Linked DNA regions of Ovis aries. The protein of the gene in region 1 interacts with the protein of each later gene in a pairwise test. Links are inferred from orthologs where the notes say so. Each region holds a gene or a part of one and is shown in the gene's direction. Other genes may lie near its edges.

Region 1 (5,660 bases):
TTCAGCATTCAAGTCCTCTTGTCCTAGGCTTTTATTGTTGGAAATGTTTTTATTACTGATTCAAGCTCTTCACTTATGATAAGTCTTTCAGATTTTTATTTCTGACCAGTAGTACAAAGAACTTACATATTATTTTGTTAGGGGAAAGAGTTTACTTAAAAATAAAGCAAGAAATTCACTTGGGGCCTTAAACAGTTTGTGTTTTCGCTGATCAATTCAACTGGATAATTGCCAGATATTCACTTAGTGTCCGTATGACATACACACACACATACAACCTGTCCATCAAGTGATATTTTTAAAAAGCTATTTTTAAATCCTAGTAATTTTTTTGAATGTTTTTCTTCTGATTATGTGATACAAGTGGACAGAGTCTTTCTGTGTACAGTTAACCACGAGGACTTCCTTTATAGAGTGAGTCTGAGGGTGTTTCTGTAAAGAAGGGACATTCTAAACTTTATCATTGTAGGACTGAGCCCCATGGACTGAGAAAACTCTGAGGCTTTACAGAGACAGGGTACTGGGTGGAGGAGACTGATACTCAAGGTTGTAGGGAGTGATGGTGGTATAGACTTAGAGCTTTGGTTGCCTGGATAGCTGGACTGCCCCAACCTAGATCCAGGCTCTGGAGGTACCAGGAGAAAATCTCTGACAGAGAAGTGGTGACTTTTCCATAAGTTACGCTGAAAAATGGGTAAGGGTCAAATGTACTCATAATGTTAGCCACTTTGGCAAAGTAATGCTCTTAGATTGTTTTACTCCCACCTATAATCCACCCTTCAGCCATCCACCACCTTGGGTCCCATTTTGCTTTTTCCATGTTATATTTGGATATAATATAGTTTAATATTGTTAAATTTCAGGAGTGATCTATCTTACTAAGCTCCAAATGAGGATGGCAGGCTGCAGATTGTGGTGAAGAAGTGTGAATGAAAGCAAGATATTTGCTCTCTCTGGAGAGCACCAAACATATAGATAGTGAGCACAGGGCAATATCTGTCAAAAGAACAGAAGGTGGAAGGAAGGAAAGATTCGGTGTCAATGGGGCAACACAGAGCCCAAGTCTACTGATTTCTCCTTAAAGAAAGAACAAGATATTTTCCCCCATACACGACTATCTCGGCATTTTAGATTGGAAATGAAATGTGGCAACTTCATTTTTTCATTTCCGCAATGGTCCATTGCACTACTACCAGGTATGAGGGGTGAGGAATCGCCAGGGATGCGTTTAAATTACAAAATACGTAGAGAGTGGATGCATCTTTTCCTCTAAGCTCAGAGCCAGATCCCCAGAGGGCAGAGAGGCAGGCATTCTGCGCTGGGGAGCAAGGCAGTCTTCCCACTAGTGGGCCGAGATGGCGTCTGTCCGGGTCACTGAGAAGACCCCTTACCACTCCCCACCCCCCACCGCCCAGGATTACTCTGGGAATAAATCAGCCCAGACCATGTTCTGCAAAGACTGAGCGGTGCTCTGAGGTCCCCCTCCTCCGGCCTGGGCGTGCAGAATCAGGGCAGTCCCCTGAAGCATCCTTGATGTCACCCGAGAGTAGAGGTGGGGAGAGTTGCTTCTCCCCTCCCTCGGCCCCCCACCCCACCCCGAGATGACAGTGTCGCTTTCTTGGTTCCTTGGAGAGCTTTGGGTGTGGAAAAGTGTCCTCGGTCCCAGCTCAAGATGGGAGAAGAGGAAACAGAGGGAAGAGATGTGGGGAAAGGGACTTCATTGCTCAGGCTTGACTCGCGCAGGTGAGAAGTGAGTTCTGAGCGGAGCATCTGTCAGGATGGCAGGCAGGTGGAGACGGGCAGTCCCGCCTCGGCCCACCCGGTTCCCTGGGCTGTCAGAGCTGCCCCTGGGCCGGGCCTTCCTTCTCCGCGACGCCCGGGGGATCCCGAGCCGCGGCCTCCGCCTCCGCCCCAGCGGCCCGGGGTCCGCAGCCCCGCCCCGCCCCGCCCCGCCCCGGCCTCCCGGCTCCGCTGGGCGCCGGTCGAGCGGCTGGCGCCCAAGTCTCGGCGGCCAGGAGGATGGCCAAGGTCCCGGAGCTGGAAGACGCCTTCCTGCAGGCGCAGGCTTCTCCCCCGGTTTCCCCCGAAGTCCAGGAGTGTTGTGTGCAGCTCCTGGGCAAGGGTTTGCTCGTTTACCCCGAAGAAAGGGTGTACCTGACGGGCGAAGCGCAGCCGGGGCGCGAGCTGGGCAGCGGGGAGAAAGCGGACGACTCGGAGCTGCCCGGGGGAGTTAAAGCCGGTGAGTGCTCTGCCCTCCCGGGACGTGACTGGGACTCGGATGTAGTTTTAAAAGGGCCTCCAATGATAAACACATCGCAAACGTACATGTGTTTCCCCTAGGAAAATGCTGGTCGAATAGAAATTAAGTCTAAGGGATTTTGTATAACTCTCCTCCGAACCCCCCATAGACCACCCCGTTTGACGCCAAGATACATTTAGAGCTAATTAATTGATTTTATATTCTGGTTTTCTTTATCTTTTCAACTGGCAATTAGAAATGCATTTAAGCAATGGTAACTTTTCCTCCGAAGAAGAGGATGCGGATAATCCAGACAGCAAAACTAAAGCAACCGATCCACACCTCTCACAGAAGAAAACCATCACGCAGATTATGAAGGATAAAAAGAAGCAGACCCAGCTCACCCTGCAGTGGTAAGGCTCGCTCAAGGGTACCCTTGAATTTTGAAAGTCAGTATATTCAGATTCTTTGCTTTTTTCCATTTGGTTCTCTCAAACGTTCTTGCAGGAGTTTAAAAGACCAATTAGAAATTCATCCAAAAATTGTTTTCACTGAATGTTTTGTATAGAGACATATTCTGGTAAAGGTGAAAAATGATCTGCAATGCAAATAAAAACCATCACTTTGTTCATTATTGGCTAACTTCTTTGTAATTTTGTAATTTCTTTGTTGTAGTTTCATTATTGTAATTCCTTTGAATGTAAGCAATAATGAATTTTAATGACTTGTTCAACATGCAATCAACTCATAAGCTTTTATGTTTATAAAACATGATTCTTAAAAAATAAGTTAAAAAGAGGAAGGATCTTAACCCTACCTTTTACCATAGAGTGCAAATTCAAAATTGTGTATCAGTTGTGTATCAATTCAGCCATAAGATGAAATATGTTTGAACTAGAAGACATAGATCAATCAGTTAAAATGGTGCTATTAACTTAAATAAATATTCAACTATTTTAAAAGTAGCTTTTATATATGATTTATTACAGTGAAATATCACTAATTAGATTTTATGGAAAATCTTCTAAAACCAAGAGTTTATCAGTAGGCTCTCTAAGTAAAAGTCCTACAGAAACTTTTATAATATTGTTTCAAAAGGAAGAGGAATCTAAAGTAAAAACATAATATTAAACTTCCCTATGTAGGGTAAAGAAATTTCCTCCCAAATTCCAAATAGGATGCAAATAAGTAAAAATGTCTATTTGCTAATAAGTTACACAATCTGTTTATATGTAAAATGTGATCTAAATCTTAAAAAAATACAATAGAAAAAGCAGTATCTTAATAAAAACTAGTACATTTTATTTCATTTAAACATTGAATTACAATTTGCATATACTGTTTGTGATTGTGTCCTTAATTCTTCCAAACATTTGAAATATAAGTTTAATATCCTTCTAAAATTATGGCTAATCTATTGAAATTGATATTTCATTTATTAGTTGAGAATATACTAGGGCAGTAAATAATTGAGCTAATTATCTTAAATATTTAGGAAACAGCTATTTTCTTTAGGATAATTGGAGCAAAAAGGTTTTGACTTCAGATATATTATGAAGGCTTTTTGAATGATCACTTCCATTCAATTTGAATGAATGGAAACAAATGGGTTTTTATTTTATAAATATAAATACATTACAATTAAAGAAAAAAGTCATATCCAAAATTAAGATTGTATTTATGTCTAGGATTAGTCAGTATTTTGAAGACAAAAACAATGCCAACAATATCAATACAGCCAGATGAAAAAGTGGACATTATATGTGTCATTTAAATATAGTTAAAACAGTTGAATATTTCTCAGTAATTTTCATATGTTTTGAGACTATAAAATGTCATCATTTTTGTTTGAACTTTCCACACTCTCACCCCCTCCCAGAGATATATAGTTTTAAAAAAACCTACATGAGTTATTTACCTTTTGATAATTTTCCCTTACGACTACAGATTAGAGTGGGGATGTTAAAAATTAGAATTAAAAATTAAAGTGCCTGAGTAGCTTCAATTTTCACTGTCAACTAGGTGTTTGGTTTTGTGTATGTAAATTTTACTGGGATTTCCATCTTTCTAAGACAAAGGAAAAAAAGAACCAAATCCCAGGAAACATCCTGTAGCTTTTATCTCACGCACCTTGGGAACATGTTAAATCAGAGATCTTGAAGAGTTTCACTCAATTTTAACCTAAATGTATATTCTATATTGTGTTGCTCTTGTATAGTACTAATTATGATCTTACTGTACATAAAAAGAAAGTAAGTAAATTTTAGCCATTATCGTCTACTGAAAGGGTGGAAGAATTGAGACTAGAATCCACAAGTTCTGATTTCTTGATGGCTGTTCAGGTATTTGTAACACTTAAATATATGTTATTACCTTTATATAAATTGTGTGCAATTGCAATTGCTGGTATCCAAATTAAGTGGAATTATTTCTAAATTTTCAAAGATTATATGATTATGTTTATAATATAGAACCGAATTTAGTGTCACGTTTGGCGGCATCCATAGAGAATAACATTATGTTTCGTGAGTACAGGATCTTTTAGGTAATGATAAGTACTAATTACAGCAAAAAAGGGTAGAGATAGAGGTAAACTGGTACTATTTCAAACTTACAGTTAATGTATTCTTATGTATTTTGCAAATAAATGTGTCACCATACTTCCGTAACTATTCAATGTTCAGAGCCAGTTTGGGAGTGAAAGTAAGAGATTGTAGGAAGCCTCTCGACAATGTTATTTTAAAAATCCATCACCTTCAATTTCACCATTCATATTTGGATATCACAGAGCAAAGCATGATGAACAGTGAAGATTTACTCAGAAGTAAGGCTTATTCAGGCAGGTGGACCAGGCAGAAGTGATTTTGTCTTAGCCGTGGGTGTTTTAACTGCACTAACAGGTGTTCATTGAGGTTCTTGCTCTTCTAACTTTAATCCTTGTGATCATATTTTCAATATTATCCAGAATAAAAGAACATGAACACTTTTATATAGAGTCTGTGTTCAAAGGGAGCAGTAAAACAATGTGAGAGGGGGAAGGAAAGAAGAAATAAAGAAAAGGTTTGAACTAATTCTTTGCCCTTTTTCTTAGGCTTGAAGAGAATTACATTGTATGTGAAGGAGTTTGCTTACCACGGTGCATCCTTTATGCACACTACTTAGATTTCTGCAGGAAAGAGAAATTAGAGCCAGCCTGCGCGGCCACCTTTGGAAAGGTAAATAACACATTTTGGCTATACTACCTTACAACTGAAGTCGTGTGAGGCAAACAGTATGGAAACAAACTTAACTGTTCAAGTTTTCTTACAGAATATTAAGAAATCTGTTTTGTAAATGAAATCTCTTAAAGACTGCATTTGGAACTGCTATATGTTTAATGTAGATTTTACCTACTATTTGTTTTACCTTGAACTGTAATTCT
Region 2 (5,234 bases), on another chromosome or scaffold:
CCAAGGACATCTTTGGATTCCCTGAGTCCAATCCTGCTGAGGACCATGTGTTGCTGCCTTGGGAGTTTGAGGGGCTGTAAGGGTACCCGCGTGGAGGAGCCACATGGTTGCCATGCCATATTTGTCCTTTAGCTAGATGGCCCATCCTTCCTTTCTCTACCAGAGTTCAAGCTCCGTGAGGTCAGAAGCCCGTACACAGTAGATAGTCACTCTCTGGCCAGGCACTGGGCTAAGTATACAGTGAACAGACAGTGAACAGGACAGACCCTCCCACCCTCAAAGAGCTTTGAGACTGTTGGGCATAGAGCTGAGGGCTGGGGCCCTGGCAGAGCTCTTTTTTTCTGGGGAGCAAGGGGTATCTGACACTATTCTTTCCACTTTGATTTTTTACTTCACTTTCTTTTACCCCTGTGCACACACAGCCTTATGAAAGTAATTTAACCTCAGGAATATAGTTGAAGTACCAGAGCTTATGGCTCAGACGGTAAAGAATCTGCCTGCAGTGTGGGAAACCTGGGTTCGATCCCTGGGTTGGGAAGACCCCCTGGAGGAGGGCATGGCAACCCACTCCAGTATTCTTGCCTGGAGAATCCCCATGGACAGAGAGGCCCAGCGGCCCACAGTCCGTGGGGTCACAGAGTGGGACACAACTAAGTGACTAAGCACAGCACGCTAGATCTTAAGATGATGGAAATGCATAGTGTGTGTTGGGGGAGGGGAGTGAAGGCCTTGGGCCGGCTCCTCCCATGGCTCTTGGATATTGGCGAGTGTGCGGAGAACAGTCAGGATGCTAACCCTAACCCCTCAGGCCTGGGACTGAAGTTCAGGGACGTTTCCTGAACTCTGTGCATCCTTTCAACCTCCCTGGTCCTCCCCTATAGGATGCAGGGTCAGAGGAGCCTCATTTCTTCCTCTCCTTCTTCAGGGATATTTGCATTTAAGTGCTCCAGGGCTGAGGAAATCTTCAACCTCCTCCAGGATCTGATGCAGTGCAACAGCATCAATGTGATGGAAGAGCCAGTCATCATCACCCGCAACAGCCACCCGGCTGAGCTTGACCTCCCTCGGGCCCCCCAGCCTCCCAATGGTGAGGAAACCCCTCTCCTCAGCACCCCAACGCACACACAAGCACAGGTCCAGGGAGCACTGGTCTTGGAGGCATGAGTCAGGCAGGCAGGTGGAGGATGGCTGGGTGAGCCAGGCTTCCAGGACCATCATCCATCATCAGACAACTCCCAGGGATAGATAAGTCCTGGCCTAGACTAATCAGGTGACTCAAGCTGAGGCTGGGGAGTCCAGAGCCTTGTATTGACGGATGGTCGGGGAGCAGACAGGAAGACATTGGGTTTCCATGGAAACGGCAGTCTGGAGCCGCTTTGCTTCCTTTCTTCTATCTACTGGGTCATACCCATATACCTTTCCTGACAGCTGGTGCACCATCTCTGCCCACAGCTGTCTGGAGAGGTTCCCACGGTTTCTGCTTGTTCATTCACTAAATCACATCGAACGCCTGCTTTGTGTCCTGCCCTCCATCAGCTGGCCCATGAGGGACAGAAGAAATAGACACACGGTCCTTGATTTTGAGGAGCTTCCCTGGAGCTCACTGGCAGAGCTGGAATGAAGTGTAGGGTCAGTTCAGTGACAGCAAGGTGTGCCTTAAGTGTTTCAGATAAGGCTCTGATGGGGGGAGTGGAGTTCAAGCTGAGCGTTCAGAAGAATGGCAGAGGTTGAAGATCAGACACAAGGTGAAGACAATGGGGACTGCCAGTTCGGTGGGTGGGCCCTCGAGGACCCTGGGAGTGTCTCCCTGGGAGAGTCCCAGGCTGCCACATGCACGGTTGCAGGCAGCTGCCACCTGGTTTAAGGACCCCTTGTCTCCTGTGTGCCCAGCTCTAGGCTATACCATCTCCAGCTTCTCCAATGGCTTCCCTGGCTGCCCAGGGGAGGGTCCCCGATTCTCAGCACCCCGGCGCCCCTCAACAAGCAGCCTCCGCCACCCCTCGCTTGGTGAAGAGTCCACCCATGCCCTCATTGCCCCAGATGAGCAGGTGAGCAACTGGCTGCCCAGGGTCTTCCTGTTGGTCTGGTGGGGGTAGGGGGTTGGGAAAATACAGCACCTCCTGCCAGTGAGGCTCATGAGAGGGAAGAAAATGGACAGGGCCCCTTCCTGTCCCAAGAAAGGGAGGCCGCTTCCCTGGAAGGTTTGGAGGGCAAGGAAGAGGAGGAGACTGCAGCCCTCTCCCATGTGCTTCTCCTCTCATCCTGTCCCCTGTTCTCTGCTTCCTTCTTGCCCTTGGACCCTCCCGCCCAGTCCCACACCTACGTCAACACGCCAGCCAGCGAGGAGGAGCAGCGCCGAAGCCGGCACTGCCTGCAGCCCTTGCCTGAGGGCCGGGCGCCCTTTGCACAGCAGGCCCGGGGCCCCGACCAGCGGGACCCACAGGTGTTCCTGCAGCCGGGCCAGGTGAAGTTCGTGTTGGGCCCCACCCCAGCTCGGCGGCACATGACCAAGTGCCAAGGCCTGTGCCCGAGCCTGCAGGACGCCCCCCACCACAACAATAACAACGAGGGCCTTTCAGAGTGCCCGGCCCAGCCCAAGTGCACCTACGAGAACGTCAGCGGCGGGTTGCGGCCGGGGGCGGGCTGGAAACTGAGCCCGGAGGAGCCGGGCTGGAACGGCCTGGCCCAGCGCCGGGCTGCACTACTGCACTATGAAAACCTGCCCTCCCTGCCCCCGGTGTGGGAGAGCCAGGCCCCACAGCCAGGGGAGGAGGCCGGGGATGACGGTGACTCAAGGGACGGGCTCACACCCTCCTCCAACGGCTTCCCGGAAGGCGAGGAGGACGAGACCCCGCTGCAGAAGCCCACCAGCACCCGGCCTGCCCTCCGCAGTCACGGCAGCTTCCCCGTGCCGCTGACCCGGCGCCGAGGCTCCCCAAGGGTCTTCAACTTTGATTTCCGCCGCCCGGGCCCGGAGCCCCCGAGGCAGCTCAACTACATCCAGGTGGAGCTGAAGGGCTGGGGTGGAGACCACTCCAAGGGGCCCCCGAACCCCTCCGCCCCCCGAGGCCCTGTGCCCACCACGCACCCTACCCGCAGCTCAGACTCCTACGCCGTGATCGACCTCAAAAAGACCGTGGCCATGTCCAACCTGCAGAGGGCGCTGCCCCGCGACGACGGGACCGCCCGGAAAACCCGGCACAACAGCACCGACCTGCCTCTGTAGGGGCGCCCCTCCTCCGCCCGGCCCATCCTCCGCCTCCCGCTCCATGCCCTGAACCCCCACGCCGGGGCTCGGGGCTGCTTCGCAGAAGGGCACTGAGGTGGACCAGATGCTTACCGCACTGGCCAGAGTCCCCAAAGATATCAGCCGCAGAGTCCCCCGGTGTCCGAGTTGGGGACAGGAGGGAGGAGGACCAGGCGAGGAGGGAGCCGCGGTGTAAACTGTGAAGGGCCCCCCGACGGCAATTAGCACCCTCCCGTTCTGTCATCTGTCGCGTCTGTCGTCTGTGTTTTTTTGGTTGAAATTTGGAAACATTTTGTACCTGTTGATTTTATTTATCAGTTTATTTTTCTATTTATTGTTTTAAATGTAATTTAACATATTTATTATTAATATAATTATTTTTAAATTCTGACGTGGATGATGTCACATTTTTAAAGAGTTTTTTTCTGGCATGCCTGGGGTGGGAGTCCAGGAGGCCTCACAGAGGTAGGGTCTTCACTCTAGGGTGATTGTGGTATTTGTGACAAGTAACAACCATTTCTTTTTCTCCTCTAAGAAGCCCTGGCCAGGAACTGAAAGTTGCCAGGGACGGCTGCTCTGTCAAAGTAAAGTGACAAGGCACCTGGAGTCCTTGATGCCCAAAGGGGATCTGTAAGAAAAACTCCCCGGACCCTCTGAGGCTGTAGTCAGTGGGAGTGGAATTGAGGGGTGGGGTGCTGTACCATATTCACCTTCTCTGGACTCTCTCACTGAGTCCCCCTTCCGCCCCCAGGTGGATCCGATTGGGTACTGCCCTCCTTTCCCACCTTGGCCCCAAGGGGGACCCTGGATCTTCCTTCAGCGCCATCCACATGGCAGGGTCAAGACTAGAACCTTTAAACAGCACTTTACTAAAAACCCAGGAAAAGCAAAAAAAAACAAAGAGGGAAAAACAGAGTAATACAGAACTAAATAGACTTACAAAGTGTGACTTTCCCGGAGAAGTCCTCCCTCGGAATGAGCTCTTTGGGGCATTTCTGACCGACTGCAGGGATGGGGCCCTCACAGAGCCACCACATCGCAACTCCTGCCTGGGCCCCTCTGCCCAGGGCTGTACGCTCCCCCTGCCTGAGGCCGTGGTTGCAGAAGCTCCCTTTCCGTATAGGGAGGCTGCCTCTTTCCTCTTCCTCCTCCCACCAGCCTCCCTGCCTCAAAATTCCCCTTTCTGTCTCAAACCCCTGAATGGTTAATCTCCAGAAAATCCAATGTCTCTAATGAGGCACTTAGGGCCCTGTGGAAGAGAGGGAGCAGGGTTTGTCCAAGCCTTAGGGACAAGCCTTCTTGTCTCATCACTGTTTGTGCCCCAGCTCCCTGTCCAGTGGAGTGAGCAGACCTGTCCTCCACACCAAGGAAACAGGCCAGGGCGGGGCCCACCCATCTCCTTCCCCTCCTGCTATTCAACCACTGTCCAGGGCCTCAATTCCAGAAGTGCCCTCTTCCCTGAGCGGGAATTAAACCAACCAGCTATCAGAACCCCCTGACCTTGGGTGTCCCTCTCTGTGCAGGAAATGGGCAAAGAGAACTGGCCACAGAAGATGTAAGAGACCCTTCACCTGGGGCCCAGTAGGATCCCAGAGTGTGGCTGGCTCCGAACACTTCTCTCCTTTACACCCTTTTGATCTCTGGACCAGAGGGCTCACCTATGGCAGGCTGGGTTTCATGCATTTTTCCCACACTGCAGTAGGGCAGCACCGTCCTCTCTCTGCTGCTTACCCAGGCAGGCAGCTCAATTCTGCTTTCTCTGTGTCCTCCCACATGACCCCTGCTCCTCCTTTTGGCCTCCACAGTCAGGAGCAGTGGACCCTTCAAACAGGATCACCAAGATTGGGGGGCAGGTATGGCTGTGCCAGGACCAGGCCTAGGGCCCCTGGCTGTGCTAGTGACTCATGAGTGTGCTCAGGCTCCTCCTTACTCGTGAACTCTGTCATGGGGGAGTCAGGAGCCTGGCTTGAATCGAGGCTGGGTTCTG

What was found.
Region 2: the proteins of RFX6 (region 1) and FRS3 interact in binary tests that used the Homo sapiens proteins (3 or more experiments, as listed by UniProt). The two-hybrid records come from large-scale screens. The link is inferred for Ovis aries from reciprocal best matches to the Homo sapiens genes RFX6 and FRS3.

Annotation. Positions count from the first base shown.
Region 1 is NC_056061.1:21,007,786-21,013,445, reverse strand, and holds the start of RFX6 (DNA-binding protein RFX6), read left to right. Parts: upstream 1-1,962; 5' UTR 1,963-2,019; coding exon 2,020-2,239; intron 2,240-2,495; coding exon 2,496-2,652; intron 2,653-5,330; coding exon 5,331-5,454; intron 5,455-5,660. UniProt on the Homo sapiens protein: Transcription factor required to direct islet cell differentiation during endocrine pancreas development. Specifically required for the differentiation of 4 of the 5 islet cell types and for the production of insulin.
Region 2 is NC_056073.1:15,616,245-15,621,478, reverse strand, and holds the end of FRS3 (fibroblast growth factor receptor substrate 3), read left to right. Parts: intron 1-925; coding exon 926-1,087; intron 1,088-1,890; coding exon 1,891-2,048; intron 2,049-2,311; coding exon 2,312-3,226; 3' UTR 3,227-3,638; downstream 3,639-5,234. UniProt on the Homo sapiens protein: Adapter protein that links FGF and NGF receptors to downstream signaling pathways. Involved in the activation of MAP kinases. Down-regulates ERK2 signaling by interfering with the phosphorylation and nuclear translocation of ERK2.